Anolis sagrei: one gene and its partners. The protein of the gene in region 3 purifies or fractionates together with the protein of the main gene of each other region. This does not show direct contact. Links are inferred from orthologs where the notes say so. Each region holds a gene or a part of one and is shown on either strand. Other genes may lie near its edges.

Region 1 (7,138 bases), on a different chromosome or scaffold from region 3:
TAGACATGGAATGGCACTTTTACATGTTGATCACCTTTATATACATATTGTGTGATGTATGAAGTTGACAAACATGTACATCTAAAAGCTATTAACAGGTTAAATTAAATTCAAAATTAATTATTGAATAGGTTCCTGTCAAATCAGAAGTAATTCATGCAGAACTGCACATAATGACTATCAAAGCTGAATCTCGTTTTTTCTATACCACCCTCTCTCCCAAAAGGGACTCAGGGTGGTTTACACACAGAAACAGGCAAACATTCAGTGCCTTACAAAGTACAAACAACATCAGGAATAATACAAAATAATGCACCATAATAACAATAAACTTATGAAAAACTAAACATTGAAATGGGAACTTGATAGCAATAAGCCAATTTAGACAAGAAACGAAGACATGAGTGAACATTAAACATATATCACTAAAAGCAGAAATGAATTGCATTTCAAATCATGAACACAGGTGTTTATTAAAAATGTATTATAGCCACCATATAGTGCAAATGGGCTCGCCAGCGTTAGAGCATCTTAGTCCTCCTCCTCTCCATATGTTAAAGTGCATACATGCATTTATGACATTACATATTTTCAAGCAGCTTCCAAAACTATTTTTTATGAAAGCTAAATTTGTCATGGAGGAAGAAATTTAAACTTTCTTTCCTCCACAGAACTGAAACAGGAAGACTCCGTTTTGCACATTGTGGTTGGTGACAGAAGTGCTATGCCCCCCCCCCCACTTCCCGTTCTTCTATGGGACTATATACAACCAGATCATATTTCAAATGTTCCCACCCTAAGTATCTCGGTGACACCTTAGCTTGAACACTAATATTTAGGAAACACTGTATGAACACCAAACATAAAGTAGGTACACACAATAATATTCTGTGGAAACTTACTGGCAGCACATGAGGTGCAGACCCAAAACTAATAAGAACATCAGCCCTAGCCTTGCCTTACTCAACTGCTGAGTGTGCCTGCTCTGTCTAGTACTAGTCTGTCCATGCAAAGCATGTGAATATGGCACTAAATGAAGCATATAGGATTATCACAGGATGTCTCAAACCCACACCTGATTGACTGTATAAGCTAGCTGGCATTGCGACGGGAAGTTGCTGCCAATTGCGAGATAAATAAAGTTGAACACTGGGAAAGCCACCCACTGAATGGCTACCAGCCTCCTCCCAGTAGAGTCCAATCAAGGAAAAGCTTCATGAGAACCACCACTCCTCTTAATGTTCTCCCAACAACAGCAAGGATATCCCTCTGGGCAGCTAGACCAGGAAATCCCAACCGGATGGCCCCACATGAGGGTCTGCCTGCAGGGGGCAAACCAAGAATGGGCAATGTGGAAGTCCCTGAATAGATTCAAAAGTGGAGTTGGTGGATCAAAAGACAACCTGGCAAGATGGCCCTACCTAGAAGAATCGTCTACGTTGTGCAACTGTGGAGCAGAACAAACAACTAAGCATCTGTATAGGTAAAAGTAGTCCCCTGACATTAAGTCCAGTCATGTCTGACTCTGGGGTGTGGTGCTCATCTCCATTTCTAAGCCGAAGAGCCAGCGCTGTCCGTAGACAACGTAGACACCTCCAAGATCATGTGGCCGGCATGACTGCATGGAGCGCCGTTACCTTCCCGCCGGAGCAGTACCTATTGATCTACTCACATTTGCATGTTTTCGAACTGCTAGGTTGGCAGAAGCTAGGGCTGACAGCGGAAGCTCACGCCGCTCCCCGGAATCAAACCTGCGACCTTTCGATCAACAAGCTCAGCAGCTCAGTGCATTAACCCACTGTGCCACCGGGGGCTCCTGTATGCTTGCCCACAATGCCCTGCCTCATGCACAGAGGAAAAACTGCTTAAAGCTACAGACAATGCAGTCACTGTTGCCTGTTTCTGGTCTAAAAATATTTCGCCGCTTGTGCTCCTTCTATATTATCAGTTTTATATTTATTTATGAAATGCTTTTGACACAAAATAAATAAACATTTGAAATGCTTACCTGCTCTAGAAAAATACCCACACTGCCCCCAGAATTTGAATTAACAGATGCAATGGCCAAAAACGGATGAATGTGGTGCCACGCAATGTGGAAGTGCGGTCCATGGGACTCAAGAGCTTCTATTTGATGATTAACGTACACAGCCATTTCGAAAGGCAAACGCTACACATCTAGAATACAAAAAAAGCATTTCGCAATCAAGAAACTGTAACAATTAAGACTCCGAGCATCAGAGGAAACAGGAAAGTTGACCACACATTAAAATATGAATTGTAGGGGGTCAATAACTCTCCCTCACTAAGTGTTTTAAGTAAGTTTTGTCAGGAAATGAAATAAAAACATTTTGTTTCTTGGTGATACAAGAAATTAATATAACATTCCTACCAGCTGTTAGGAATTGTGGGCCTTGAAGTCCAAAACACCAGGAGAGAGGGCCCAAGTGGCCCAGGCCTGAGCTATCAGCTTTTAAACTTGGAAGGGTGTGTACATTTCTTTGGACACCTTTCATTTTACCTGAAGCTTGTAAATGGTCCTGTTTGAGAAAGTCCTGCCCGAAGCCCCATTCAGTTTGGAGAAGGAAAGGATAGGTTCTGTCCATCTTCGGCCCTGTCAACCATAAACAAGAGTTTCCTTGAAGGTGAATGAGAAGAACTGGAGTCTCTCGTCCTGGGGAAAAGAGAAACCCTCGCAGCCCAGCAACCCCTCACGTCTCCGGCCTGCCTCTCACTCGAGGCCCCGGTCCCTAGGCCTGGAGGAAAACGAAAGCCAACGAGGCCTCCTCTCCGTCCCTCGCCCGCTTGCCTGAGAGGAAAGAAAGCGCGCTCCTCGACGCCAAGAAGACGCCGAGCGTTACCGTTGGCGACGGCAAGCGCTTCCCCGGAGCGGAAACAGCCGAAGCCGCAGTCGGAAATGCACGATGTTTCCCGAACACTTTGACGGAAATTCCCGAACGGCTAACCCGTTCTCAGACCAACCCTATGTAGCTTCTCTTGACTCGTCTCTACCGCTCCGAGGAAAAGACACATATCCAATCAGCCAATGAGATTGTAAGCAGAGGCCCCAAGCCCTGCCTATTTGAAGACCTTCACCAACCAGGATCGAGCCCTGAGCACTGTAAGCCCCGCCTCCGCTGCTTCCTACTGGTCACTTTCGCCTCCGCGGCTTCCAAGCGGCCCCGCCCTCTTTGGAAACACACACATAAGCACTCCACTTGCCACTCAAGGAAGGACTGGTTTTATTTAGTTTCAAATAAACCTTAAGTGTTGGATATATTTTAATCTGTAACGTGTTCTATTATAGTCTTGCTACTTTATTATGTTCCAACTGTTGTTTTTGTTTAATACTAATATATATGTATAATTATACTAAATGCCCTTTGAGCGCTAGCTGGCCACTTGGAGTACCAAGTTTTTAAACTTTGTGTGTGTGTTTTAATACGTTACAACTGTACCTTCAGTTCTCTTCTGATAAAATAAATAAAATTATATATAATATTAATGTTGTGATATAATATATGCTGAGAACTGTATTTTGTGATCTTAATTGTTTATGGTTATTGTTTTTATACGGTTTATACTATGTGTAATTGTTTTTGACTGTATTTTATCTTGTGGGGCATTGATTGCCAAATGTAAAGTGCCTCGAGTCGTCTCCGGGCTGAGAGGGGCGGTATACAAGCATAGTAAATAAATTAATAAATATATATTATATATTTGTTGTTGTTCATTCGTTCAGTCGTTTCCGACTCATCGTAACTTCATGGACCAGTCCACGCCAGAGCTCCCTGTTGGTTGTCACCACCCCCAAAATATTATATATACTACAACTTATAGTACAATATATTATATAATACTAATAGTATAATATACTGGTAGGGTATCAAATATATTGTGGTATACTAATATAGTAATTATATAGTATATTATAATATAATTATATTATATGTAATATTACTAATATTTCAGTATACTGGTGTAGTACTATATACACCAACTCGAGTGAGAGCGGTGTAGTAATATAGTAATATATAATACTAATATTGTGCTATACTAATAATATATTGCATATACCTATAATATTGATAATAATATTATAATATAATACAATATAATACTAATACTACATAAAAAAGGTAAAGGTTTTCCCCTGACATTAAGTCCAGTCGTGTCCGACTCTGTGGGTTGGTGCTCATCTCAATTTCTAAGCCAGCATTGTCCATAGATACCTCCAAGGTCATGTGGCCGGCATGACTGCATGGAACGCCGTTACCTTCCTGCCAGAGTGGTACCTATTGATCTGCTCTCATTTGCATGCTTTCAAACTGCTAGGTTGGCAGAAGCTGGGGCTAACAGCAGGAGCTCACACCGTTCCCTTGATTTGAACCTGCGACCTTTCAATCAGCAAGTTCAGCAGCTCAGCAGTTTAACCCACTGCGCCACTGGGGGCTCCATTTATAATAATACAATATAAAAATATATAATAAAGTAATAGTAATATATTAAAAATAATTACTACTGATAATATATAATTATACTGTTTTATTATTGTATATTTCTGTATTTTGGGTTGTACTGTTTTTGATTGTGAGCCGCTTTGAGTCTGTAATACGTGTTGTCAAAGGCTTTCATAGCCAGAATCACTGGATTGCTGTAAGTTTTTTGGTTCGTATGGCAATGTTCCAGAAGCAATCGGGTGTCAAACAGGGATGTGTTATTGCCCCAACTTTATTCTCCATCTTCATTGCTATGATACTCCATCTTGTTGACAGGAAGCTTCCCACCGGAGTGGAAATCATCTATCGGACAGATGGCAAGCTGTTTAACCTCAGCAGACTGAAAGCCAAAACCAAGGTTACAACAACATCTCTTATATAGAACTCCAATAGGCTGATGACAATGTTGTTTGTGCGCATTCAGAAGAAGATCTACAAGCCAGAAGCATACGAGAAGCTCGGCCTGTCATTGAACAACGAGAAAACCAAAGTGCTTGTCCAGCAGTCACCAGCCAATCCCTTTCCAATGCCAGAAATACAGCTTAATGGTGTAACATTATAAAATGTTGACCATTTCCACTCCCTTGGCAGCTACCTCTCCACCAAAGTCAACATTGATACTGAAATTCAACACCGCCTGAGCTCTGTGAGTGCAGCATTTTTCCGAATGAAGCAGAGAGTGTTAGAGGACTGGGACATCCGTAGGAATACCAAGGTGCTTGTTTATAAAGCTATTGTCCTCCCAACCCTGCTAAACGCTTGTGAGACGTGGACTGTCTACAGATGTCACGTGCAACTCCTGGAACGATTCCATCAGAGCTGCCCCTGGAAAATCCTGCAAATCTCTTGGGAAGACAAGTGGACAAATATCAGTATGCCGGAAGAAGCAAAGACCACCAGCATTGAAGCGATGGTCCTCCGCCGTGAACTCTGCTGGACTGGCCACGTTGTCCAGATGCCTGACCACCATCTCCCAAACTCTGAACTCAAGAACGGAAAACGGAATGTTGGTGGACAGGAAAGGAGATTTAAAGATGGGCTTAAAGCCAACCTTAAAAACTCTGGCATAGACACTGAGAACTGGGAAGCCCTGGCCCTTGAGCGCTCCAGCTGGAGGTCAGCTGTGACCAGCAGTGCTGTAGAATCTGAAGAGGCACAAATGGAGGGCGAAAGAGAGAAACGTGCCAGGAGGAAGGTGCGTCAAGCCAACCCTGACCGGGACCGCCTTCCACCTGGAAACCGATGCCCTCACTGCGGGAAAAGATGCAGAGCAAGAATAGGGCTCCAGAGTCACCTACGGACCCACTGCCAGTACACAGATCCTGGAAGACTATCCTACTCGGACAACGAGGGATCGCCTAAGTAAGTACAACCTCTGAGGATAGCTGCCATAGATGCAGGCGAAACGTCAGGAGAGAATGCTTCCCTGTAATAACCTGAAGACCTTCACCAACCAGGCTCGAGCTGCCCCGCCCCCACCGCTTTCTATTGGTCACTTTCGCCTCCGCGGCTTCCAGCGGCACCGCCCCTTTGGTTCCGGCCGGCCAATAAGGCACTCTGTTTGGGTTGCCTGGGGGCGGGGCTTGCTGGTGCGGCCTTCTCTTTTGCATTCCCGGCAGGACGGAAGCGGAAGTCAGGTTTCTCTGCCCTCCGCCTACGGGAAGAGGCGGGAGCTGCAGTGCCAGAAGCTTGTGTGAGGGTTCAGCAGCCCGGAACGCCTTCGGAGGCTCCGGGGGACGGGTCACGACGGCGACGGCGACGGCGACGGGGAGGCCTCCGCGGGGCCCTCATGACTCAGGTAAGGAAGGAAAGAAAGGAGGAGGAGGAGGAGAATTCTATTATTATTACCGAAAAGAAAAAAAGGAACGAAGGAAGCATTGCCAGCTGAGGCTGGGTCCACACTGCAGTGCCGTTACTACAGGTTAAGTCTCTTGAAACGGATTATTTGGCAGTGTAGACTCACATAACGTGTGGGCCCAGCCTGAGTGTGCAAGGTAGGCCTTTGAGGTGGAACCCACCCCAGGCTTTTCCTAATCAAAGGTGGAGAGAATGTCTTAGAGGAAGGAAAAGGTGTAATGTTGTTATCCTATGGTTATTAAAGCATAGGAGATTTCAGGATGGATACGAGGGGTGCGGCCTTCCCTAGGTTGCACTCCAACTCCCAGCATTCCCTGTCATTGTTTAGATGGCAAAGGCTGCTGGGGCTTGTAGTCCAGTCATGTGTGTCAGGCTGCACCCTTCCTTGCCTGGGAAGTTTACCTAGTTGCTTCTTTGTTACATTCCAGGAAGGATAAGAGTGGTGTGGCCTTTCCTAGATTGGACTCCAACTCCCGGCATTCCTTATCATTGGCAGCGAAGGGTCACACGGCCTGGGAAGTTTATCTGGTTGCTTCTTTATGCTGAACCTCTAAGTCAGGCCTGGGCCAACTTGGACCCTCCAGGTGTTTTGGACTCCATTCCCACAATTCTTAACAGCCTGTTAGGAATTGTGGGAGTTGGAGTTCAAAACAACCAGAGGGGCCAAGTTGGCCCAGGCCTGCTCTGAGTAACAATCGCCGTCTTCAGTTGGGCTGTCCTATCAGAGGATAATATCAGCTGACAATGTTTGACTTCTCTGGATGTTTTCTTCTAAAACACTT
Region 2 (7,285 bases), on a different chromosome or scaffold from region 3:
AGTTTCAACGCATGAACATGTTTTATCCTTGCTGCTACTGGATTCTGAGTGCTGTTAAATGTTTTCTTGTTATTAGAAACAGTATGTTAGCATTTTATCATAAATGTGTTTTAGTATAATATACCGTAATGTGGTTTTATGGTAGTGTTGTATATGCCTCTTCAGCATAGACTCATTGTTGTCACTGTATGCATTCAAGACAAATCTGACTAATGGTGGCTTGATCACAGAGTTCTCTTGGGGCCTTCCACACAGCCATATAACCCAGAATATCAAGACAGAAAAATCTCACAATATCTGCTTTGAACTGGATTATCGGAGTCCACACTGCCATATATTCCAGTTCAAAGCAGATAAAATGTGGGATTTTATTCAGCTGTGTGGAAGGGGCCTTGGTAAGATTTGTTCACCATGGGTTTGTCTTTGCCTCCCTCTGAGGCTGAGAGTGTGATTCCCCAGGGTGACCACTGGGTTTCCATGGTCGAGGGGGAATTGAGACCTTGACATCCTGAGACATATTCCAAACCATCTTATGCTTTTCACACTTTTAGTTTAATTTGTATGGGTTTGTTATGTGGTAAATGTGTGTGATGTGTTATGTTTATTTAAGTGTAATTTTCAGTTATTTTTCAGTTAGTTGTATAAGTTCATATTGAGATTGTTTTATCCATTGTTTTTGATGTGATTTGTCATTTGGCTGCTTTTGGCTTTTATTTTATTTTTTCCATTTTTTGTTACTCATTGAAAATTGCCCTGAGTCCCTTTGGGGAGATACGGAGGGTTACAAATAAAGTATTATTATTATGATTATGATTATTATTATCCAATACTTAAAACACTGCACCACAATTACTGTGTACTCGCCAACATTTTGCAGACAGAACCATTTGACCAAGCAGCAAAAGTGGTTCAAAAGAGCAGGAAAAGAGTAGCTCAAACATTCTCCACGAGGAAAAGACAAGCTAAGGGTGCATCTACACTGTAGAATTAATGCAGCTTGACCCCACTTGAACCATCCTGGCTCAATGCTATGGGATCCCGGGTGTTGTAATGTGGTAGCACTCTTGGGCAGGGAAGGCTCATGGCCTTAGAAAACATCACCTCCCATGATTCCTTGGTGCACTATGGCGGTTCAGTTCAAGTGGTGCCAAATTGCATTAATTCTATAGTGTAGATGCACCCTAGGAAAGGCTGCAGCAGACTGTTTGCCTGAGCTGCTTGGGAAGAGCAGGGTGCATCAACACCAGGCATGAGAAAACTTGGGCCCTCCAGAGGTTTGGGACTTCAGTTCCCACAATTCCTAACTTCAACTCCCACAATTTCTAACGCCCTATGGGCAAAAGTATGATAGCTGGGCCCCAGTGCTGGTAGTGCTACGCTGGTTGCACAACGCAGCTCTGAATTAGAGATAGGAACATGTGCGCGAGACAGAGCATCGACTGAGAGATGCAGCTGCGGCAGGATACCAGTGAAGTAATGTAACGCAGGTAGCACAGGATAACAGTGAAGTAATGTAAGAGTGACAAGATTTGATTCATTTTTTATCACTGCTCATGTTTCTCTCTTCCTTCCTTTCTATCCTTCCTTCCAATGCAACATTTTTGAACATGTTTGCCTAGGATCTCTGGATAGCCTACATCAGTATGCTTGCCTGTGTCCCCTCCTCCTTTCTACCGAACTACCTTGTCAAGTCTGTCATAGCTGTGTCTCTCACTGCGTGTGGTCTCTCGCGCACATGTTCCCTTCTCTAATTCTGAGCCACATTACGCAACCAGCGTAGCACTACCGGCACTGGGTCCCAGCTATCATACTTTTGCCAGCCAATGGCCTACATACAGCTGTTAGAAATTATGGGAGTTGCAGCTAGGAATTGTGGGAGCTGAAGTCCAAAACCCCTGGAGGGCCGAGGTTTGCCCATGCCTGATCTACACTGTTGAATTGCCACAGTTTGACACCCCTTTAGCTGCCATGGCTCAATGCTATGGAATCCTGGAATATGTAGTTTGGTTTTGTTTGCCGTGTCAAAACAACTTGAAAAACTGCAAGTCGCTTCTGGTGTGAGAGAATTGGCCGCCTGCAAGGACATTGCCAGGGGACGCCCAGATGTTTTTACCATCCTTATGGGAGGCTTCCCTCATGTCACTGCATGAGGAGCTGGAGCTGATAGAGGGAGCTCATCCGCGCTCTACCTGGGATATGTAGTTTGGTTTTGTTTGCCGTGTCAAAGCAACTTGAGAAAGTTCAAGTCGCTTCTGGTGTGAGAGAATTGGCTGCCTGCAAGGACATTGCCCAGGGGACGCCCAGATGTTTTTACCATCCTTGTGGGAGGCTTCTCTCATGTCACTGCATGAGGAGCTGGAGCTGATAGAGGGAGCTCATCCGCACTCTACCCGGATTCGAACCTGTCGGTCTTCAGTCCTGCTGGCACAGGGGTTTAACCCACTGCGCCACCGGGGGCTCCTTATGTAGTTTGGTGAGGCACCAGCACTCATTGGCAGAGAAGGCTCAAGACTTTGTAAAACTACAATTCCCTTAACTCCATAGTGAGCCATGGTGCTGTCATTCAGTTTGCAGTGATAGCTTGTCTCTTCTCAGGGTACGTCTACATTGAGAAAATAATGCAGTTGAGATACCATGGATCATGGGGGTAATGTTACAAAGTGCTTAGGTTTCCCTGACAGAGAGTGCTGGTGCCTCAACAAACTACATCTCCCAGGACTCCACAGCCTTGAGCCATAGCAGTTGAAAGAAGTGGAGTCAAAGTGCCTTAATCCCACAGTGTAGATGCACCTCCAGCTTCTCCCAGCCCGGTTGCTCTTACCACTGCTCGGCCTTATCCCTCCAGGTCAACGCAGCTCGCATCCTTTCCACAACAGCCACCAACGGACGCTGTCGCTTTTATTTATTCGGACTCCCCAGGCAACACGCATGCGCACTCTTGCCCACGTTAAACCGCCCTTCTTTGGGCAGAGATGCACGAGGACTTGCGCATGCGCATCTCCTTCCTCCCATCCCTCTTCTCTAAATTTCCACTTAAGCACCGCTGGATATACGAGTGAAGAAACAACACAAGTACGCATGCGCAAACAAAATCTGCCTCAGCGCACTCTTGCTTCTCGCGAGATCTCAGGTGACTCTCTGCCCCGCTTTCTTAATAGGCTACTACTCCCGTATCTGGTCTCAGGGGGGTGAAAATGCGCATGCGTATTGAGCAGATGAGTTCCCGCCTTAATAGAGAGGTGAGGCAAAATTCCTGTCGGAGAAACAATGCAGGTAGTTGCAGACAGGTATGGATTTCATCAACAAAGAGATGATAGACTCCTTCTTTCAGTGGCCCCCAAGTTTTCCATCCTCCAGGATTGGGGACTTCAACTCCCAGCAGCCCTCAGCTAGCTTGTCCAACGGCGAGGAATTCTGGGAGTTGGAGTCCAAAAAACAAAGTTTGAGAACTACTGCATGGATGGATTCCATCCTGAATGGCCTGCAACCTGCCCACTTCCGAGAATGAATAGTTTGGTCTGGTCCTTCTTATTTTATTTATTTATTTATTATTTATTTATTTACTGTGCTTATATACCGCAATTCTCAGCCCTGTTCACAAGTAGAACAGGAATTCAGTGCAAATGTGACATCATGATGCCAGAGAATAAATGCTTGTGTTCCATTAGCACATCACTTAAGACAGTGGTTCTCAACCTGTGGGTGCCCAGGTGTTTTGGCCTACAACTCCCAAAATAGAGATTTAAAAAAGGACATGCATTAAAATTCATAGGCTGTTGTAGGTTTTTTTCGGGCTATATGGCCATGTTGGGGACGAGGGACAGGGCCTTCTCTGTGATGGCCCCTCGGCTGTGGAACGCCCTTCCCATGGACATCAGATCAGCTCCTACGCTAATGGTGTTTCGAAGAAAACTAAAAACCTGGCTGTTTGAACAGGCATTCGGATAAACATTACAATGAATATGGTGAACATAGGAACGGAATCATAGACGACGAATTTGGATCACGATTCTAGTTACGAGATGTTAATGTGTTGTTATTGATGTGTTATTACTTTGTATATTATGCCCTTACTGGTTTTTAAATTGTATATTGTTATGATTGTCTTTTTGCTCATGTTGTGAACCGCGTTGAGTCGCCTTCGGGCTGAGAAACTGCGGTATACAAGCAAAGTAAATAAATACATAAATGTTCTAGAGGCATTCTCTCCTGACGTTTCGCCTGCATCTATGGCAAGCATCCTCAGAGGTAGTGAGGTCTGTTGGAACTAGGAAAAAGGGTTTATATATATGTGGAATGACCAGGGTGGGACAAAGGACTCTTGTCTGTTGGAGCTAGGTGTGAATGTTTCAACTGATCACCTTGATTAGCATTTGATGGCCTGGCTGTTGTTTGGTGTGGCTTGCTAGTGCCTGGGGCAATCTTTTGTTGAGAGGTGATTAGATGTCCAAGATTGTTTCCTCTCTGTTGTTTTGCTGTTATAATTTTAGAGTTTTTTAATGTTGTTGTTGTTGTTCATTTGTTCAGTCATCTCCAACTCTTCGTGACCTCATGGACCAGCCCATGCCAGAGCTCCCTGTCGGCCGTCGCCGCCCCCAGCTCCTTCAAAGTCAGTCCAGTCACTTCAAGGATGCCATCCATCCATCTTGCCCTTGGTCGGCCCCTCTTCCTTTTGCCTTCCACTTTCCCCAGCATAATTGTCTTCTCTAGGCTTTGCTGTCTCCTCATGATGTGGCCAAAGAACTTCAACTTGGTCTCTAGTATCCTTCCCTCCAGTGAGAAGTCGGGCTTTATTTCCTGGAGGATGGACTGGTTGGATCTTCTCGCAGTCCAAGGCACTCTCAGAACTTTCCTCCAACACCACAGCTCAAAAGCATCAATCTTCCTTCGCTCAGCCTTCCCTAAGGTCCAGTTCTCACATCCGTAGGTTACTACAGGGAATACCATGGCTTTGACTAGGTGGATCTTTGTTGCCAGTCTGATGTCTCTACTCTTTACTATTTTATCGAGATTGGACATTGCTCTCCTCCCAAGAAGTAAGCGCCTTCTGATTTCCTGGCCACAGTCTGCATCTGCAGTAATCTTTGCGCCTAGAAATACAAAGTCTGTCACGGCCTCCACATTTTCTCCCTCTATTTTCCAGTTGTCAATCATTATTGTTGCCATGATCTTGGTTTTTTTATGTTTAGCTGCAACCCAGCTTTTTAATACTGGTAGCCAGATTTTGTTCATTTTCATGGTTTCCTCCTTTCTGTTGAAATTGTCCACATGATTGTGGATTTCAATGGCTTCTCTGTGTAGTCTGACATGGTGGTTGTTAGAGTGGTCCAGCATATTATTTGAGAACACAGAAATGCTGGACCACTCTAACAACCACCATGTCAGACTACACTGAGAAGCCATTGAAATCCACAAGCATGTGGAGGATCATTCAGAGCTTTGGGGCAGCCGATGAAATGGTCCTCTGGGTTGTGGTTACCAGTCGCCCCTCAGAGGACCAAGGTGTGGGAGAGGTGATTGTATGGGAGAAGGTGATCCTTTAGGTAACCCGAACCCAAACCAATAATTCAAGGGAAAATCCACAGAAATGGGCTGCACATGTTACGAGAGCATATATTTCTGGAGTATATGGCTCCTGGAGATTTATGGTTGTGGAAGTGGAAGTGCTGGATCCGTTTGCATTAAGAGAATACTAACTGTCTTCAAGGACTGATTAGGCCAAAGGTCTGCTCAGCTCATCACTTTGAGTGCTTTGATAGCAGAAGTTTTTATTGTACAGTAGCCCTGCCTCGGTTGTGGAATTTTACAAGGAACATCCAGATGGTTGCTTCCATCTGTAAGCATTCCAGGTGATCTTACCACATAAAAATGTCAGAAAGAGGAAAAAGAGAGAATGACTGAAAATATATTTTGATGGATGTTGTTGAGAGCCATGTGTCTGGAAGTGTCCTGTGACAAGGTGACCATATAGATTTTGATATCATAAATGGGAGACTTTGTCTGATTTAATCTGATTTTAGTGCCGGTCAGCTTCAGTATCAGTGAGACGTTTTCCTCTTATATCAGATTGAGTGAAAAACATTTATATGGAATAGGGTTTATTTTGTTTGTTTGTTTTTAAATTATGAGGCAAAAAGAAGTTATGATGCAGTTGTGCCAGGTGTAAAAAAAGGAACATTTCAGTGATCAACAAGGTAGAGCAGCTTTTGTACTAGGAAAAGCTTTAAAGACAGGGCAAATTTTGATAGTATTGCATTCATCTGCAGCGATATAAGTGATGAACATGTGATGGAAGATATAAACAAAGAGAAGGGAGAAGCTACAGCACAAGAGGACGTTGAAACCAAGAAAGAAGAGACTGAGATTATCCAGTGCAAAGAAGATGAACCAGCTGAATCTTTATCAACTCATCTGTGCCATAAAGGTGTTCCAGAAGGATGGGAAAGGATAATCAAGCAAAGACAGACTGGAAAAACGGCAGGAAAATATGACATATATTTTGTCAGGTAATGTTAAGTATAAGTCTTGGGAATCTACTGATGTAGCCCATGTGGCATTTCGGTTCAGAGCAGAGAAAAGAAAGTGTTACAAAGAATATACATAGTATGTAAATACACCTCAGTTAACAAAGCAAATTTTTTAAATCATGTCAGAAGCAACTTGAGAACATACTGCAAGTCGCTTCTGATATGAGAGAATTGGCCATGTACAGAGATGTTGCCCAGGGGATGCCCAGATGTGTTACCATTCTGCTGGGAGGCTTCTCTCATGTCCCCGCAAGCTAGAGCTGACAAGACAGGAGCTCACCCCGTCTTGTGGATTTTAACTGGCAACCTTCAGGTCAGCAACTCAGCAAGCACAAGGGTTTAACCCATTGTGTCACCACAGCTCTATAATAAAGCAGGTTTTTTTTCATGTCAGGAGCGACTCAAGAAACTACTGAGTGGAATGGCCCTCAGTATTGCTCTGGTTTTGTTTTGTGCTGCTTGACAGGGCCTTCCACACAGCCATATATCCAAGAATATCAAGGCAGAAAATCCCACCATATCTGCTTTGAACTGAGTTATCTGAGTCTACACTCAGATAATGTGGGATTTTCTGCCTTGATATTCTGGAATATAGGGCTGTGTGGAAGGGCCCATGGTGGCCCTAAGGAAAGTCCTATCACAGGGCATTCTTGACAAGTCAGCTATCTAATTTATTTAAAATACTGTATTTTGTCAATTCTAAGACACACTTTCCCCCATATAAAAATCTCTAAAAATTGGGTGCTTTTTGTATATAC
Region 3 (7,780 bases):
AAGTTTAATTCAGTTGACATCTGTTTCAATAAGCAATGTACCTTCTTGCTAAATACACAAAGCTTGTAAGTATATCAACGATGTTAACTTTTAACGAAGACTACTTATTTTTTTGGTCTCTTAAGAACATGATTTTAAAACAATATATTTTATGGGAGAGTAGATTATATATTTTTGTGCAACAGAAATAACACTTCTGAAGATCTGCTACATATTTTATGCATTGGCATTTCTTTGTTCCTAGCGGTTCAAAGAGATAGCCAAGTATATCAGTCTAACAGCTGAGAAGCCTAAACTGCCTTGTATAAATACTAGTAATTTACCACTAAGGTAGTGGTTCTCAACCTGTGGGTCCCCAGGTGTTTTGGCCTGCCAGAAATCCCAGCCAGTTTACCCAACTGTTAGGATTTCTGGGAATTGAAGGCTGAAACATCTGAGGACCCACAGGTTGAGAACCACTGCACTAAGGAGAAGATTGACTCAGGTGAGTTTGTAACTCTTCTTGGGAAGATCATACTTTACAAAATGGTTACGATCTCTATCAAGGTCATGCCTTTCCAAAAGGTTATGATTATTCCAAATAGTCTGGCTACCAGTATTGAAAAAACTCTACAATTACAACAGCAAAACAACAGAGAGGAAACAATATGGGACATGTAATCACCTCTCAACAAAAGATTGCCCCAGGCACTGCCAGGCAATCAAATGCTAATCAAGGTGGTCAGTTGAAACATTCACACCTAGCTCCAGGAAACAAGAGTCCTTTGTCCCACCCTGGTCATTCCACAGATATAAATCCTTTTCCCTAATTCCAACAGACCTCACTACCTCTGAAGATGCTTGCCATAGATGCAGGCGAAACGTCAGGAGAGAATGCCTCTAGAACATGGCCATATAGCCTGAAAAAACCTACAACAACCCAACAAAATTAGTGTTGCATAGTGTAATCTGTGTATCCCGCCCTCCCTCCACACTAAGCTCTCTCCCACCAAACCTAAAGGACTGGTCCCTTCCCCGGCCTCTTGACCCCATCCTCGCCTCTCTCACCTGTTCTTGGGGCTGGAGCGGCGGGGACTGGCTGCAAGCCCCGTTCTCCCCCGCCTTGAAGGGAGAACGTGGCGAGCCAGCCGCCAGTCCCTCAGGCGGTCGGTACCGCCGTCTTCCGCCTCTTGGGTTGTTTGAATTTGGCGCCCAACAAGGACGTTCGACGCCACGTGACGGCGCCGGGCCAATTAGAGCGCAGGGGGCGGAGCCTGTGAGGAAGGAGAGCGAACGGTAGGAGCAGCGGCCCAGGCGCATCTCTTTCGGAGGCAGACTTGCTGTGTATGTGTACACATGCGTCAGGATAGGTGTTTTGAGTTTGTATATGGGTGCCCTCACCTGCCACAGTCATTCCCCAGCTCTGGCTCTCCACGGTTTGGAAGGGACTCCAACTCCCAGAAGCCTCAGCTGCTCTGACCCAGGATAAGGGATTCTGGGAGTTGAAGTCCCAAAGGGTTTTCATCCTCCAATGTGGTTTTGCCAGTTTCTTCCTCTGAAATGCTGCCTGCAACAGCTGGCATTTGTCAGCGGCGTCCCATTCAAGAGCTGGCCCTGCTGACTTTGCAGGATCAGACGCCATCTGGGGCGTTTAGGATTTATGTTGACAGTTAACTGTCCTGCAGTTCCAGAAATAAACGGAATCACCAAAACAGAGATATTAATAATGTTGTAAAATAATATTTATACTTAATAATACAATATTTTATAATAATATAATATTTATACTTATGATATAATACAATATAATATGATCTATATAAATCAAAATATAATGTTCGTTTGTGGGATTAACTGAACTCAAAAAGCACTGGGGGAATTGACACCAAATTTGGATGCAAGACACCTAACAACCTAATGTATGTCCTTCACTCAAATTTTTTTGATTTTGTCATTTGCGAGTTGTAGTTGCTGGGATTTATAGTTCACCTACAATCAAAGAGCATTCTGAACTCCACCAACGATGGAATGGAACCAAACTTGGCACACAGAATTCCTATGACCAACAAAAAATACTGGAAGGGTTTGGTGGGCATTGTCCTTGAGTTTGGGAGTTCTAGTTCACCTACATCCAGAGAGCATTGTGGACTCAAACAATAATGGATCTGGACCAAACTCTACACGGATACTCAGTATGCCCAAATGTGAACACGGGTGGAGTTTGGAGAAAATAGAATCTTGACATTTGGGAGGTGTAGTTGCTGGGATTTATAGTTCACCTACAATCACAGAGTATTCTGAACCCCACCAACGATAGAATTGGGCCAAACCTCCCACACAGAACCCCCATGTGGGCCACAGCAACGTGTGGCAGGGGACGGCTAGTCTATATAAATAAAAAGTAATGTTCGTTTGTGGGGTTAACAGAATTCAAAAATCACTGGGGGAATTGACACCAAATTTGGACATGATACACCTAACAACCCAATGTATGTCCTTCACTCATAAAAAAACAGCAGAAGGGACTTAAAAAGCTAAATGACGAAAAGCTAAATGACAATACAGAAAAAAAGGAAGAAAGAGGAGGGAAGGGGAGAAAAGAAAGAAAGAAAGAAAGGGAGGGAAGAAGGAAAGGGAGAAGGAAGCATATAAGCAAAGAGAAAAGGAAGGAAAGAGGTAGAGAAGGAAGAAAGGGAGGAAAAGAAAAAGGGGAAAGGAAGGAAAGTTAGAGAAGAAAGGAAGGAGAGAAGGAAAGAAAGAAGGAAGGAAAGAGGGAGCGAAGGAAGGGGGGAAGATGTAGAGAAAGAGGGAGGGAAGGAAAGAGAGGAGGAAGAAAAGAGCAGAAGAGAAAGAAAAAGGGGGAAGGAAGGAAATAGATAGAGAAGGAAGGAAGAAGAGAAGGAAAGACAGGAAAGAAGGAAAGAGGGAGTGAAGGAAGGAGGGAAAAAGGGAAGGTTGGCCACAGCAATGCGTGGCAGGTACCACTAGTAATATAATATTATTTATTTACAACATTTATATGACGCCCTTCTCACCACGAAGGGAAATCAGAGCGGCTTACAAGATAGATATACATACATACATACAAACACACACATACACACACACGCTGTGCCACTAGGGGCCCCCAGTAGTATAGTACAGTATAATAATATATTTATTTATTTATTTACTAGATTTATATACCACCCCTCTCAGCCCACAGGCAACTCAGGGCGGTTTACAGTCAGTACCAATACCAAAAAGTACAATTAAAACATTAATATAAATATAAAAGAAGTAAAAACAATCAATATCAATTAAAAACATATATAATTAGAGTCTCCTTGTTCAAACAGTGTCCAGTCACGTCGTCCAGTCTTTCCATTTTTCATCTGTAGTAGTAGTAATTTTATTGATTAACCCTTAGGCCATATCACAATAAGAAACAGAACAACAAGGTCTGATAAGACCCGATCACACTCCACGTAGTAAGTTAAAATAAGACACTTATAACGATACAGTAAATAAATATGATAAGACATGATAAAACTGATAAACTGATCAAGCTGAGTATATACATCATATTTCATTATCACCCCTACAACTTACCCCAATCAGCCCTAAATATGTGGTTCTCAGACGTATTGTTTTGCTTAAGTACAGAGCTGTTTTGTATGTTATTTTTGGGTCTTGACCACACATAAAATATGTTGTTCTGATGTGAGATTCCCAATACATTGTCCATTTGACAATCTAACCATTGTCTCGAGCTGATCAAATCTGACTCGAGTGAATACCTCCCTGAGATTTTTCATCTGTAAACGCTTACTCGGCCCCTCTTCCTTTTTCCCTCCATTTCCCCCAGCATCATTTTCTTCTCTAAGCTTTCCTTTCTTCTCATGATGTGGCCAAAGTACTTAATATTTGCCTCTAATATCCTTCCCTCCAGTGAGCAGTTGGACTTTATTTCCTGGAGGATGGACTGGTTGGATCTTTTTGCAGTCCAAGGCACTCTCAGAATTTTTGCAACACTATTTTTGTTGGGTTGTTGGTTTTTTCGGGATATATGGCCATGTTCTAGAGGCATTCTCTCCTGACGTTTCACCTGCATCTATGACAAGCATCCTCAGAGGTAGTGAGGTCTGTTGGAACTAGGAAAATGGGTTTATATATCTGTGGAATGACCAGGGTGGGACAAAGAACTCTTGTCTGCTGGAACTAGGTGTGAATGTTTCAACTGACCAACTTGATTAGCATTTGATGGCTAATAAAGGTGGTCAGTTGGAATTTCAAGCATAATTGGCATTTCGGAAGATCTGTGCACGATGGGTACCCAGGATGCTGACGCTGGTTGCGGAAACAGTGTCGACTTGTTCTGTGAAGGCTTCAGAAAACTTGTTCATCGTTGGCAGAAACGTATCCAATTGTCTGGTGATTATGTGGCAAAGTGAATAGTGGTAGTTTAAGAGCACATTGTAAGGATTATTTCTGCGTTTGATTTATTAAAATATTCCCATCCAAACCCAAGTAACGAAGGTGGAGGCATTACTTTTCAATCAACCCTGGTAGAGAAAGATGTTGAAGAGCCCTGGGCCCAGGTCTGAGGAGAAGGCCGACGTCACGCTCTTTGCAAGTTGATGCGTGGCTTTGTTTTCTCCCTCACCCCGCTCTGGCTGCGCCCAATGAGGAGCAGGCGTTGTGCGCACGCGCCGCCCAGTGCCTCGCGGAGGCTCCAGGGGCGGGAAGGCGGAGGAGGGGGGCGGTCCCAACCCGGCGAGGGGGCCGCCCCCTCCCCTGGTTGCCATAGCAATGGCAGGATGGCCAGCCGGAGCGGAGTGACTTTGGCTACCATGGGAGCCAGGTGAGGCCAGGGCCCGAGGGTCCTCTTGGCGGGGCGCCCCCTTTTGGGCGAGGGGGGTGCTGGGGCCGCAGCAGAGGCTGGAGGGAAGCCCAGGAGGGCGACGCCCGGCCCGCGAGCTTGCAGGGATCCCCGCCAATCAGCAAGCGCGCGGAGGCCTCCCTGTCTCGAGCTCTGCGGCCGGAGAGAAGGCTTTTGCAGTGTATCATAGAGGCGCTGCTTCCTCTCACCCGGAAAGAAGGGAAGGGGGCGCCATGGCGGCTGCTCCTTCCCCCATCTCCTTGGTCCTTTTCATCAGTCAAGCCTATTTTTATCAGTGGAAGGGAGGCGCCTAAAGGCGAAGAGCAGGGAGGAGGGCACCCAGATCTCTGGAAGTTTTGAAGCAGAAGCTGGATGGCCATCTGTCGGGGCTGCTTTGATTGTTCTTTTCCTGCATGGCGTGGGGTGGGCTAGATGTGGTGACTTCCAGCTCTGATTCTTCCATCTCCTTCCCCCTAGCAACAATATAGTACTATAGAACACTTTTTTTTTGTTCTGTCAGGAGCGACTTGAGAAACCGCAAGTCGCTTCTGGTGTGAGAGAATTGGCCGCCTGCAAGGATGATTTGATGTTTTATCATCCTTGTGGGAGGCTTCTCTCATGTCCCCGTATGAGGAGCTGGAGCTGATAGAGGGAGCTCATCCGCCTCTCCCTGGATTCGAACCTGCGACCTGTCCGTCTTCAGTCCTGCCGGCACAGGGGTTTAACCCAATGCACCACCGGGGGCTCCTATATAACACTAATATTGTGCTATGCTAATCTATATAAATAAAAATGTAATGTTCGTTTGTGGGATTAACATAACTCAAAAGCCACTGGGGAAACTGACACCAGATTTGGACACAAGACACCTCTCAGGCCAACAAGTGACCATCACTCATAAAAACACTGAAAAACACAGCAGAAGGGACTTTAAAAAGCCAAAAAATACATTACAATGCATACGCAAAACCACATATATATACACAAACACACATATATACACACATATATGCATACACACAGAAAGAAGGCAGGAAGGAAAGAAAGAAGGAGGGAGAGAAGGAAGTAAAGAAGGGTAGAGAAGAAAGGAAGGAGGGAGAGACGAAGGAGGGAAGGAAAGAAAGAAAGGCAGAGAGGAAGGAGGGAGAGAAAGAGGGAGAGAAGGAGGGGAGAGAAGGAAGGAAAAAAGAAGAATAGAGAAGGAAGGAAAGAGAGAAGGAGGGAGAGAAAGGGAAGGAGAGAAGGAAGGAAGGAAGGAAGGAGAGAAGGAGGGAGAGAATGAAATAAAAAAGTGAAAGAGGGAAGGAAGGAGACAAGGAAGGGTGGAACCAAAGAGCTAAGGAAGCGAGAAAAGAAACAGAAGGAACAAAGAAGAAGGGAAAGAAAAAGAGGAAAGGAAGGAAAGAGGGAAGGAAGGAAGGAGAGAAAGAAAGAAGGAGAGAAAGAGGGAGGGAAGATTGGCCACAGCAACACGTGTCGGGTACAGCTAGTAATATATATTGTATATACATATAATATTGATAATAATAATATAATAATAATGATAATACAATATAATAATATTAATTCTATATTATATATTACATGTAATATTACAGTATACCAATATAGGACAATATAGTAATATATAATGATAATTTTGTGCTATGCTAATAATCTATATAAATAAAAATGTAATGTTCGTTTGTGGGATTAACATAACTCAAAAACCACTGGGCGAATTGACACCAAATTTGGACACAAGACACCTATCAGGCCAACGAATGACCATCACTCATAAAAACCCTGAAAAACACAACAGAAGGGACTATCTATATATATAAATCTGTTAGGTTGGTTCAACCGGACAGCAAAACTCCACAACCCCCCAACGAAACTGTACCAAAATTGCCATGCCCATAACACAACCCACAAGGTACAAACATATCTACTCAAAATGAAAAACAACACAACAACACACTCACAAAACGGCAAAACAACAAAACTCAAAAAACCCCAACGAAACTTAACCAAAATTGCCATGCCCATAACACAACCCACAAGGTACAAACATATCTACTCAAAATGAAAAACAACACAACAACACACTCACAAAACGGCAAAACAACAAAACTAAAAAAAACCCAATGAAACTTAACCAAAATTCCCATGCCCATAACACAACCCACAAGGTACAAACATATCTACTCAAAATGAAAAACAACACAACAACACACTCATAAAACGGCAAAACAACAAAACTCAAAAAACCCAACAAAACTTAATCAAAATTGTCATGCCCATAACACAACCCACAAGGTACAAACATATCTACTCAAAATGAAAAACAACACAACAACACACTCACAAAACGGCAAATCAACAACACTCACAAACCCCCCAACGAAACTTAACCAAAATTCCCATGCCCATAACACAACCCATAAGGTACAAACATATCTACTCAAAATGAAAAACAACACAACAACACACTCACAAAACGGCAAAACAACTGAGCATGCGCATTGGTGCCCAGCCGCAAGTTCCCTGGCGCGCGCACACAGTTCCCTCTGAGGAAGCCATGCCCACTCCAAGCCCCGCCGCGCCGCTTCCCGCACACACACCCCCTGCCGCACGCACACACACAACCCCACGCTCTATCACTCCCCCCGCCGCACACACACACGCAACCCCACGCTCCATCACTCCCCCCACCGCCACAGACACACACGCAACCCCACTCCCCCCCGCTGCCGCACACACACACGCAACCCCACGCTCCATCACTCCCCCCACCGACACACACACACGCGCAACCCCACTCCCCCCCGCTGCCGCACACACACACGCAACCCCACGCTCCATCACTCCCCCCGCTGCCGCACACACACACACAACCTCACGCTCCATCACTCGCCTGCCCCAATCTTACCTCCTTTTACTTCACGCCACCTCCAAACC
Region 4 (7,926 bases), about 15 Mb from region 3:
AGTGTCAACAACAGTTTTAAAGGTTCCTTCTAGGTTGAGAGAATGTGAATTTACCCAGGGTCATGCAGTATATTTCTGTGGCTGAGCACAGATTCTTAGTTTCCTTGACTCGTCATCCAATGTTCAAACCATTACATACTGTACCTATCTTTCCACATACTAAGTACACCCACTCATTTCTCTTAAGATTAATGGCAATCTTGTGATTCTACAGAAGTTGGTGGGTCCAAATTTCTAGCATTCCTTACCATTTTCTATGCTGACTAAAATTATTGGGAGTCGCAATCCAAAAACACCTGAAAGCCCGTGTGATTCCTGTACCTATCCTAAGATGAGCAAGCAATAGGTTACACCAGAATGGCTCAAACTGTTCCTCCAGATGTTTTGGACTTCAGCTCCCACAATTCCTTACAGCTGGTAATTTGGCTGGGATTTCTGGGAGCTGAAGTCCAAAACACCTGGAGGAGCACAGTTTGAGAAACACTGGCTTAAACAATGGCTTAAGTAAGAATGCCTTGAAATAAGCCTTTAAATGGAAAGAAAACAAAACATCTGACCATTCATTTTTTAAAAATAGTCTTTATAATATAATCAGTAGAGCATCGCTAAAGCTGATGATATATTTTTGTAAAATATCTATGAAGCATCTCAGGAGAACCATATATAAATTTTCTAAGTCAATAACAGCAAATGTTGATAGCATCATACTGGTATTATGGAGGATTTAAATTAACAGCATCTGTTATGGGAAAGTCCAGGATAACTAAAATGAACCTGCAACTCAGATAAATGTTTATATAATGCAAGGAGTGCCAATTTATAGTCTCCCATTGATTTTAAAAATGCATATTAAAAATTTAGAAAATTCTGATGGGCACCTACAGGCAGAGCACATGCCAGCTAAAATAAATTCCAGCTCTCCTCAAGGGTGTCAGAACAGTGATATGTAATTATCACCAATCATTTACATTAACTCAGGCAGTTTTAAAGTGTGGAGAGGTGGAAAGGGGAGGAAGGTCGCTGTTCTAGATTTGAAATCTTTTTCTTTAGATATTTTAAGGAGTGATTCTGCCTATGTACATCGGCCCACATACTAAGATCTGCAGTACACTGTGTGGAGACATGAAGCAGAGTGCATGGGCTACGTGATGCCTCTCCCTGGAGACAAAATTAGCTTCAACATTGACATGTTTTCAGTGCCAAGTTTATTTGTTGTTTCAGAAGCGAACCGAGGGTACAGTTGTAATGTATTTTTAAAAAACTTGGCATTATACTAAATGTCCTTTGACCAGTAGCTGGCCACTTGGGAGTGCTTCTGGTGTCGCTATAAGAAGGTCCTCCATTGCGCATGTGGCAGGGCTCAGGCTGCATTGTACTAGGTGGTCTGTGGTTTGCTCTTCTCTTCTCTCGACACATGCATGTCGTGGACTTCATTTCTTAAGATTGCCTCTGCATCTTGTGGTGCCAGAGTGCAGCCTATTCTGTGCCTTCCAAGTCACCCAGTCTTCTGTGTGCCCAGGGGTGAGTCTCTCATTCAGTATCAGCCATTGCTTGAGGTTCTGGGCTTTACCCTGCCACTTTTGGACTCTCACTTGCTGAGGTGTTCCTGCAAGTATCTCTATAGATCTTAAGAGAGCTATTTCTTGATTTAAGGCATTGGCGTGCTGGCTGATATCCGAACAGAGGATGGGCTGGAGATGTCACTGCCTCATTCCTTTCATTATTGGCTGCTACTTCCCAGTGGATGTCAAGTGGTGCAATACTGGCTAAACAGTATAATTTCTCCAGTAGTGTAGGGCATAGACATCCTGTGATAATGCAGTATGTCTTATTAAGAGCCACATCAACTGTTTTAGTGTGGTGAGACATGTTCCACACTGGGCATGCGTACTCAATAGCAGCATAGCAAAGCGCAAGGGCAAATGTCTTCACTGTATCTGGTTGTGATCCCCAGGTTGTGCCAGTCAGCTGTTGTACGATATTGTTTCTGGCACCCACTTCTTGCTTGATATACAAGCAGTGTTTCTTGTAAGTCAGAGCACAGTCCAGGGTAGTAATAATAATAATAATAATAATAATACTCATCATCATCATCATCTTTATTTATACCCTGCCACCATCTCCCCAAAGGGGACTCGAGGTAGCTAACATGAGGCCAAGCCCTGAATTACAGGACAACAAAATAAAATAAAATACAAACAGCAAATAATAACATCAAAATAAAATACATCCAATAACAGAAAATGAAATAAACAGATGCAAACTAACATGATGAAGAAGAAGAAAATAAAAGCAAGGTAGGCGGGCCAAATGCACAGAATAAAATTGATAAAACCCTGGGTGAGATAAGTAAATGGAGAAGTATGAGTCTGTGGGGCAACTCAGAAGGGCTGAACAATGGGATTGAGCCTACATTAAAGACAACAAAAAGTGCATCATGAGGACAGAACTATATTTGGTACGGACATGATATAGGGATGTGTTCACTTGCCAAAGGCATGCCAGAAGAGCCAGATTTTTAGGACTTTCTTAAAGGCTGTCAGGGCGGGGGCTTGCCTAATCTCACTAGGTAGCGAGTTCCAAAGCTGAGGGGCCACAACGGAAAAGGCTCCCTCCCTCATCCCCACAAGTCGCACTTGAGATGTAGGTGGGAGCAAGAGGAGTGTCTCCCCCTAGGATCGAAGAGATCATGCAGGATTATAAAAGGAAATGCAGTCACGAAGGTAGGCGGGTCATGCCTACCTGCGTGACCGTATTTCTGTGTACGAAGGAAATGCAGTCACGCCTACCTGCGTGACCGCATTTCTGTGTACGAACCCACACGATCTCTTCGTTCATCTGGAGAGGCCCTGCTTGCGTCCCCAACTCCTTCGCAGGTGCGATTGGTGGGGACGAGGGAGAGGGCCTTCTTGGTGGTGACCTCCTGACTCTGGAACTCACTTCCCAAGGACATCAGACATGCCCCAACTCTGGCAGTCTTTAGGAGGAGCCTGAAAACGTGGTTGTTCCAGTGTGCCTTCCCAGAATAAGGAAAACCCTCAGCAATATGCCCTCAAAATGCACTTTACCATTGATTTGGGATTGATTGCGTTCCTTCATCTCTCCTTGAAAATTCTGCCCTAGTTCTATCCTACCTTGTCCATGTCCAGCATTATTCTTAATTTTAATCTATTGCATTTGGCCCGGCCATTGGTTTTAAATGCTTGTGTGTTACTGTTGATGTATTGTTTATTTTTTGTTATGTGATTTTTATTAATTGTATTGCTTTGTTTGTTTTGTTATTGCTTTTGTTTATTGATGTACTGTACGTTTGGCCTCATGTAAGCCGCACCGAGTCCCCTGGGGAGATGGTAAAAGGTAAAGGTAAAGGTAGTCCCCTGACATTAAGTCCAGTCATGTCTGACTCTGGGGTGTGGTGCTCATCTCTATTTCTAAGCCGAAGAGCCAGCCTTGTCCGTAGACACCTCCAAGGTCATGTGGCCGGCATGACTGCATGGAGCGCCGTTACCTTCCCGCCGGAGCGGTACCTATTGATCTACTCACATTTGCATGTTTTCGAACTGCTAGGTTGGCAGAAGCTAGGGATGACAGCGGAAGCTCACGCCGCTCCCCGGAATCGAACCTGTGACCTTTCGATCAACAAGCTCAGCAGCTCAGTCCTTTAACCCACTGCGCCACCGGGGGGAGATGGTAGCGGGGTACAAATAAAGTTTTTATTATTATTACTAGCTGTCCCCTGCCACACGTTGCTGTGGTCCACATGGCTGTTCTGTGTGGGAGGTTTGCCCCAATTCTATTGTTGGTGGGTGATTGTAGGTGAACTATAAATCCCAGCAACTACAACTCCCAAATGCCAAGGTCCATTTCCCCCAAACTCCACCAGTTTTCACATATTGGCATATTGTGTATTTGTGCCAAATTTGGTCCAGATCCATCATTGTTTGAGCCCACAGTGATCTATGGATGTAGGTGAACTACAACTCCAAAACCAAAGGTCAATGTCCACCAAACCCTTCCAGTATTTTCTGTTGGTCATGGGAGAACTGTGTGTCAAGCTTGGTTCAATTCCATCATTGGTGGGGTTCAGAATTCTCTTTGATTGTAGGTGAACTATAAATCCCAGCAACAACTCCCAAATGACAAAATCAATTTTTTGAGTGAAGGACATACATTCGGTTGTTAGGTGCCTTGTGTCCAAATTTAGTGTCAATTCATCCAGTGGTTTTTGAGTTATGTTAATCCCACAAACGAACATTGCATTTTTATTTATATAGATGATGATGATGATTATAAGTGTCTTGTGGCTAAATTTGGCAGCATTTCATCCAGTGGTTTTTGAGTTATTTTAATCCCACAAACGAACTTTACATTTTTATTTGTATAGATTATATAGAAGATACGTTATTAGTTCATCGTCTTTTGCAACTCCCTCTGGGAATCTCTAGAGCAGGCCTGGGCCAGCTTGGGCCCTCCAGGTGTTTGGGACTTCAACTCCCACAATTCCTAACAGCCTGAGGGGGGGGGGGGGAGGAAAGGTCCTGAGGCTGTTAGGAATTGTGGGAGTTGAAGTCCCAAACACCTGGAGGGCCCAAGCTGGCCCAGGCCTGCTCTAGATCCTCCAGGATGACACTGTAGCCAACTTCAGCTAGTTTGGAAGATGACCGTAGAATCGTTCAGCTTTAAAAAACCACTGCTTACTTTAGATATGGGAATATCCACACTGGTATCAATTTTAGTTCCATTTCCCAGAAGCCCTGGCTATAGACCAGATCCGCCGAGCCTTCTGGGAGTTGAAGTCCAAAGGTACTCTCGTTCAGGCACCCGTGACGTATAACAAGACACGCCCTCTGCTGGGGGCCGCCATCTCCTGGGTGACGCCGACGCTTGGAGAGGGGAGGGGCCAGCCGAGGCGGGTGATTGCGCAGGCGCAGTCGCTCTGTTTTTTTCCCTCTCTCTCCTTAAACACCGTCGGAGTGAAGGCGAGAAGATGCAGGTCGGTCAGGGCTGGGAGGGGTGGGAGGGCGGTTGGGCTTTTCTAGGCCAAGTCACAGTATAGTGTGCAGCAGGCCTGGGCAAACTTGGGCCCTCTCTTCAGGTGTTTTGGACTTCAACTCCCACCATTCCTAACCCCCTCAGCTAAGCGGCTGTGTGGGGAAAGGAAGAGGCCTGAGGCTGATAGGAATTGTGGGAGTTGAAGTCCAAAACACCTCAAGAGAGGGCCCAAGTTTGCTCATGTCTGATCTAGAGATTCTCAGGAATACAGACCAGATTGTAATTGCAAAATATATGATAGCAGCGACCCAAGCAACAGTTGCCTTAGGATGGAAAGATGAAGGGAAATGGGGATTTTAGAAATGGCTCAAATATTGATCAGAGTATATGTTCCAAGACTGCATATCATATATATATGAATCATAGAATCATAGAGTTGGAAGAGACCTCATGGGCCATCCAGTCCAACCCCCTGCCAAGAAGCAGGAATATTGCATTCAAATCACCCCAGACAGATGGCCATCCAGCCTCTGCTTAAAAGCCTCCAGAGAAGGAGACTCCACCACACTCCGGGGCAGAGAGTTCCACTGCTGAACGGCTCTCACAGTCAGGAAGTTCTTCCTCATGTTCAGATGGAATCTCCTCTCTTGTAGTTTGAAGCCATTTGAATGGCCATCCAAAGGAGAACTGGCAGTTAAAGTGGAAAAGGATTGTAGTCAGAATGAAAGGGAAACTATAAGGATCTGAACCAAAACATCATCATGATTGAAAAAATAATATAAAGTTTAAACCAGCGGTCCTCAAACTAAGGCCCAAGGGCCAGATACAGCCCTCCATGGTCATTTACCCAGCCCTCGCTCAGGGTCAACCTAAGTCTGAAACAACTTGAAAGCACACAACAACAACAACAACAATGCTATCTCATCAGCCAAAAGCAGGCCCACACTTCCCATTGAAATACTAATAATAGAGCCCCCAGTGGAGCAGTGGGTTAAACCCCTGTGCCGGCAGGACTGAAGGGTCGCAGGTTCGAATCCGGGGAGAGGCGAATGAGCTCCCTCTGTCAGCTCCAGCTCCCAAAGCGGGGACATGAGAGAAGCCTCCCACAAGGATGATAAAAACATCAAATCATCATGGCGTCCCTTGGGCAACGTCCTTGCAGACTGCCAATTCTCTCACACCAGAAGCGACTTGCAGTTTCTCAATAATAATAATAATAATAAACTTTATTTGTACCCTGCTACCATCTCCCCAAGGGACTCGGTGCGGCTTACATGAGGCCAAGCCCACAATACAACAATAAACAATAACAACAGTAATACAAATCACTCCTGACACACAAAAACTAATAAGTTTATATTTGTTAAAATTGTTCTTCATTTTAATTATTGTATTGCATTTAAGCGTTTTTTGCACTACAAATAAAATATGTGTAGTGTGCATAGGAATTCATTCATTTTTTTTCCAAATTATAATCTGGCCCTCCAGCAGTTTGAGGAACTGTGACTTGGCCATCTGTTTAAAAAGATTGTGGACCCCTGGTTTAAACCAATGAGTAGAGTTATATCTGTCCCCATAGGGAGGTGAGTAGGAGGAAAGGGGAGGGAGAAAATGGATATGTATAAATAATAGCTACTGAGCTACTGAACTTGCTGACTGAAAGGTTGGCGGTTCAAATCAGGGAGTGGAGTTGTTAGCCCCTGTTTCTCCCAACCTAGCAGTTCAAAAAGATGCAAATGTGAATAGATCAATAGGTACCGCTCCGGTGGGAAGGTAATGGCACTCCATGCTGGCCACATGACCTTGGAGGTGTCTATGGACAAAGCCGGCTCTTTGGCTTAGAAATGGAGATGAGCACCACCCCTCAGAGACAGACTCAACTGGACTTAACGTAAAGGGGAACCCTTTACCTTTATCTATAAGTGATAGATGTATTGAACTGTAAAAGATAAAATGTAATCAACAGAATGTGTTATATGTGGTAAAAATAATAATATATTGTGTATATGCGGTTGTGACAATGTTACAAATTACTTACATTTAACCAATAAATAATAATAATAATAGTGAACAAAGTTTTCCCCTTAGCTATTTCTCTAAACATCACTTGTTGAATTTTTGTTTATTACCACAACTAGGGATTCAGATTTCTATTTCCCAGGGATGTCAATCTCCCTGATTGTTTTAGAGCAAACAAAAATTCAACAAGTGATGCTCAGGGAAATTGCTAAGGAGAAACTTGTGTGTATTGGATTGTGCTCAGTGGTTTCCATGGCAGTGAGTGGTGAATCCAATCTAAGTTTTAAACTAGGCTTTAAAAGAAGCTCTTCAGGATGCAAAATAGGTCCGGATCTTTTGGATTTGAGGTTATCCAAAATGTGGGGTGGGTTCTCTTCCCTGGGTTCACAGGATGCTATGTTACAAAGAAATCTGTTCCTGGTTTGAAAATGTTATTTCCTGTTTAATTGTGCGGTACTTCCTTTGAAAGTAGTTGTTATACTCCAGAAACTTCATTTTTGTGGCTGCCACAAATATGTTGAATTGTTGTGACTCTGAGATATTGAAAAACTATAGCAAAATGTGTTGCAGCACATTTTCCCCATGTTTTATGACAGAACCAATTAGGAAATAGCATTTATAACCAGGATCAAATATTGTATGTTTACAAACTTATAATTGATTTTGTTTTTCTTTTCATAGCGAGTGTTTACCCTTTCAGAAAAGGATTCACCTAGTTCCCCCATACAATTTGCTTGGCAAAAAGCTCTAGGAAACTACATTGCTGTTACAAGGTAAGATAACATATGGTCAGTGCTCCATGTTTGTGAGTTTGACTTTTGCAGATTTTATTATCTATAGAATTGACTAATGTTCTCCCTGGCATACTCAAGAGCAATTTCCTCTCAAAAGTGACCATGGAGTCCTCTGAGAAAT

Evidence for each region.
Region 1: the proteins of TULP3 (region 3) and IFT140 purify together in Homo sapiens (affinity purification with mass spectrometry; 5 studies listed by BioGRID and IntAct, counting the BioPlex papers as one, with this or other methods). This does not show direct contact. The link is inferred for Anolis sagrei from reciprocal best matches to the Homo sapiens genes TULP3 and IFT140.
Region 2: the proteins of TULP3 (region 3) and IFT122 purify together in Homo sapiens (co-immunoprecipitation; 6 studies listed by BioGRID and IntAct, counting the BioPlex papers as one, with this or other methods). This does not show direct contact. The link is inferred for Anolis sagrei from reciprocal best matches to the Homo sapiens genes TULP3 and IFT122.
Region 4: the proteins of TULP3 (region 3) and WDR19 purify together in Homo sapiens (affinity purification with mass spectrometry; 5 studies listed by BioGRID and IntAct, counting the BioPlex papers as one, with this or other methods). This does not show direct contact. The link is inferred for Anolis sagrei from reciprocal best matches to the Homo sapiens genes TULP3 and WDR19.

The regions. Positions count from the first base shown.
Region 1 is NC_090034.1:23,609,282-23,616,419, forward strand, and holds the start of IFT140 (intraflagellar transport protein 140 homolog), read right to left. Parts: upstream 3,028-7,138; 5' UTR 2,810-3,027; exon of another isoform or gene 2,615-2,809; 5' UTR 2,522-2,614; intron 2,179-2,521; 5' UTR 2,156-2,178; coding exon 2,009-2,155; intron 1-2,008. UniProt on the Homo sapiens protein: Component of the IFT complex A (IFT-A), a complex required for retrograde ciliary transport and entry into cilia of G protein-coupled receptors (GPCRs).
Region 2 is NC_090022.1:49,981,126-49,988,410, reverse strand, and holds the start of IFT122 (intraflagellar transport protein 122 homolog), read right to left. Parts: upstream 3,065-7,285; 5' UTR 2,863-3,064; coding exon 2,822-2,862; intron 1-2,821. Other genes in the region: MBD4 (methyl-CpG-binding domain protein 4), read left to right, coding at 3,268-3,287, 6,267-6,506. UniProt on the Homo sapiens protein: As a component of the IFT complex A (IFT-A), a complex required for retrograde ciliary transport and entry into cilia of G protein-coupled receptors (GPCRs), it is required in ciliogenesis and ciliary protein trafficking.
Region 3 is NC_090025.1:104,602,536-104,610,315, reverse strand, and holds the start of TULP3 (tubby-related protein 3), read left to right. Parts: upstream 1-4,669; 5' UTR 4,670-4,778; coding exon 4,779-4,822; intron 4,823-7,780. UniProt on the Homo sapiens protein: Negative regulator of the Shh signaling transduction pathway: recruited to primary cilia via association with the IFT complex A (IFT-A) and is required for recruitment of G protein-coupled receptor GPR161 to cilia, a promoter of PKA-dependent basal repression machinery in Shh signaling.
Region 4 is NC_090025.1:119,211,682-119,219,607, forward strand, and holds the start of WDR19 (WD repeat-containing protein 19), read left to right. Parts: upstream 1-4,904; 5' UTR 4,905-4,987; coding exon 4,988-4,993; intron 4,994-7,692; coding exon 7,693-7,784; intron 7,785-7,926. UniProt on the Homo sapiens protein: As component of the IFT complex A (IFT-A), a complex required for retrograde ciliary transport and entry into cilia of G protein-coupled receptors (GPCRs), it is involved in cilia function and/or assembly.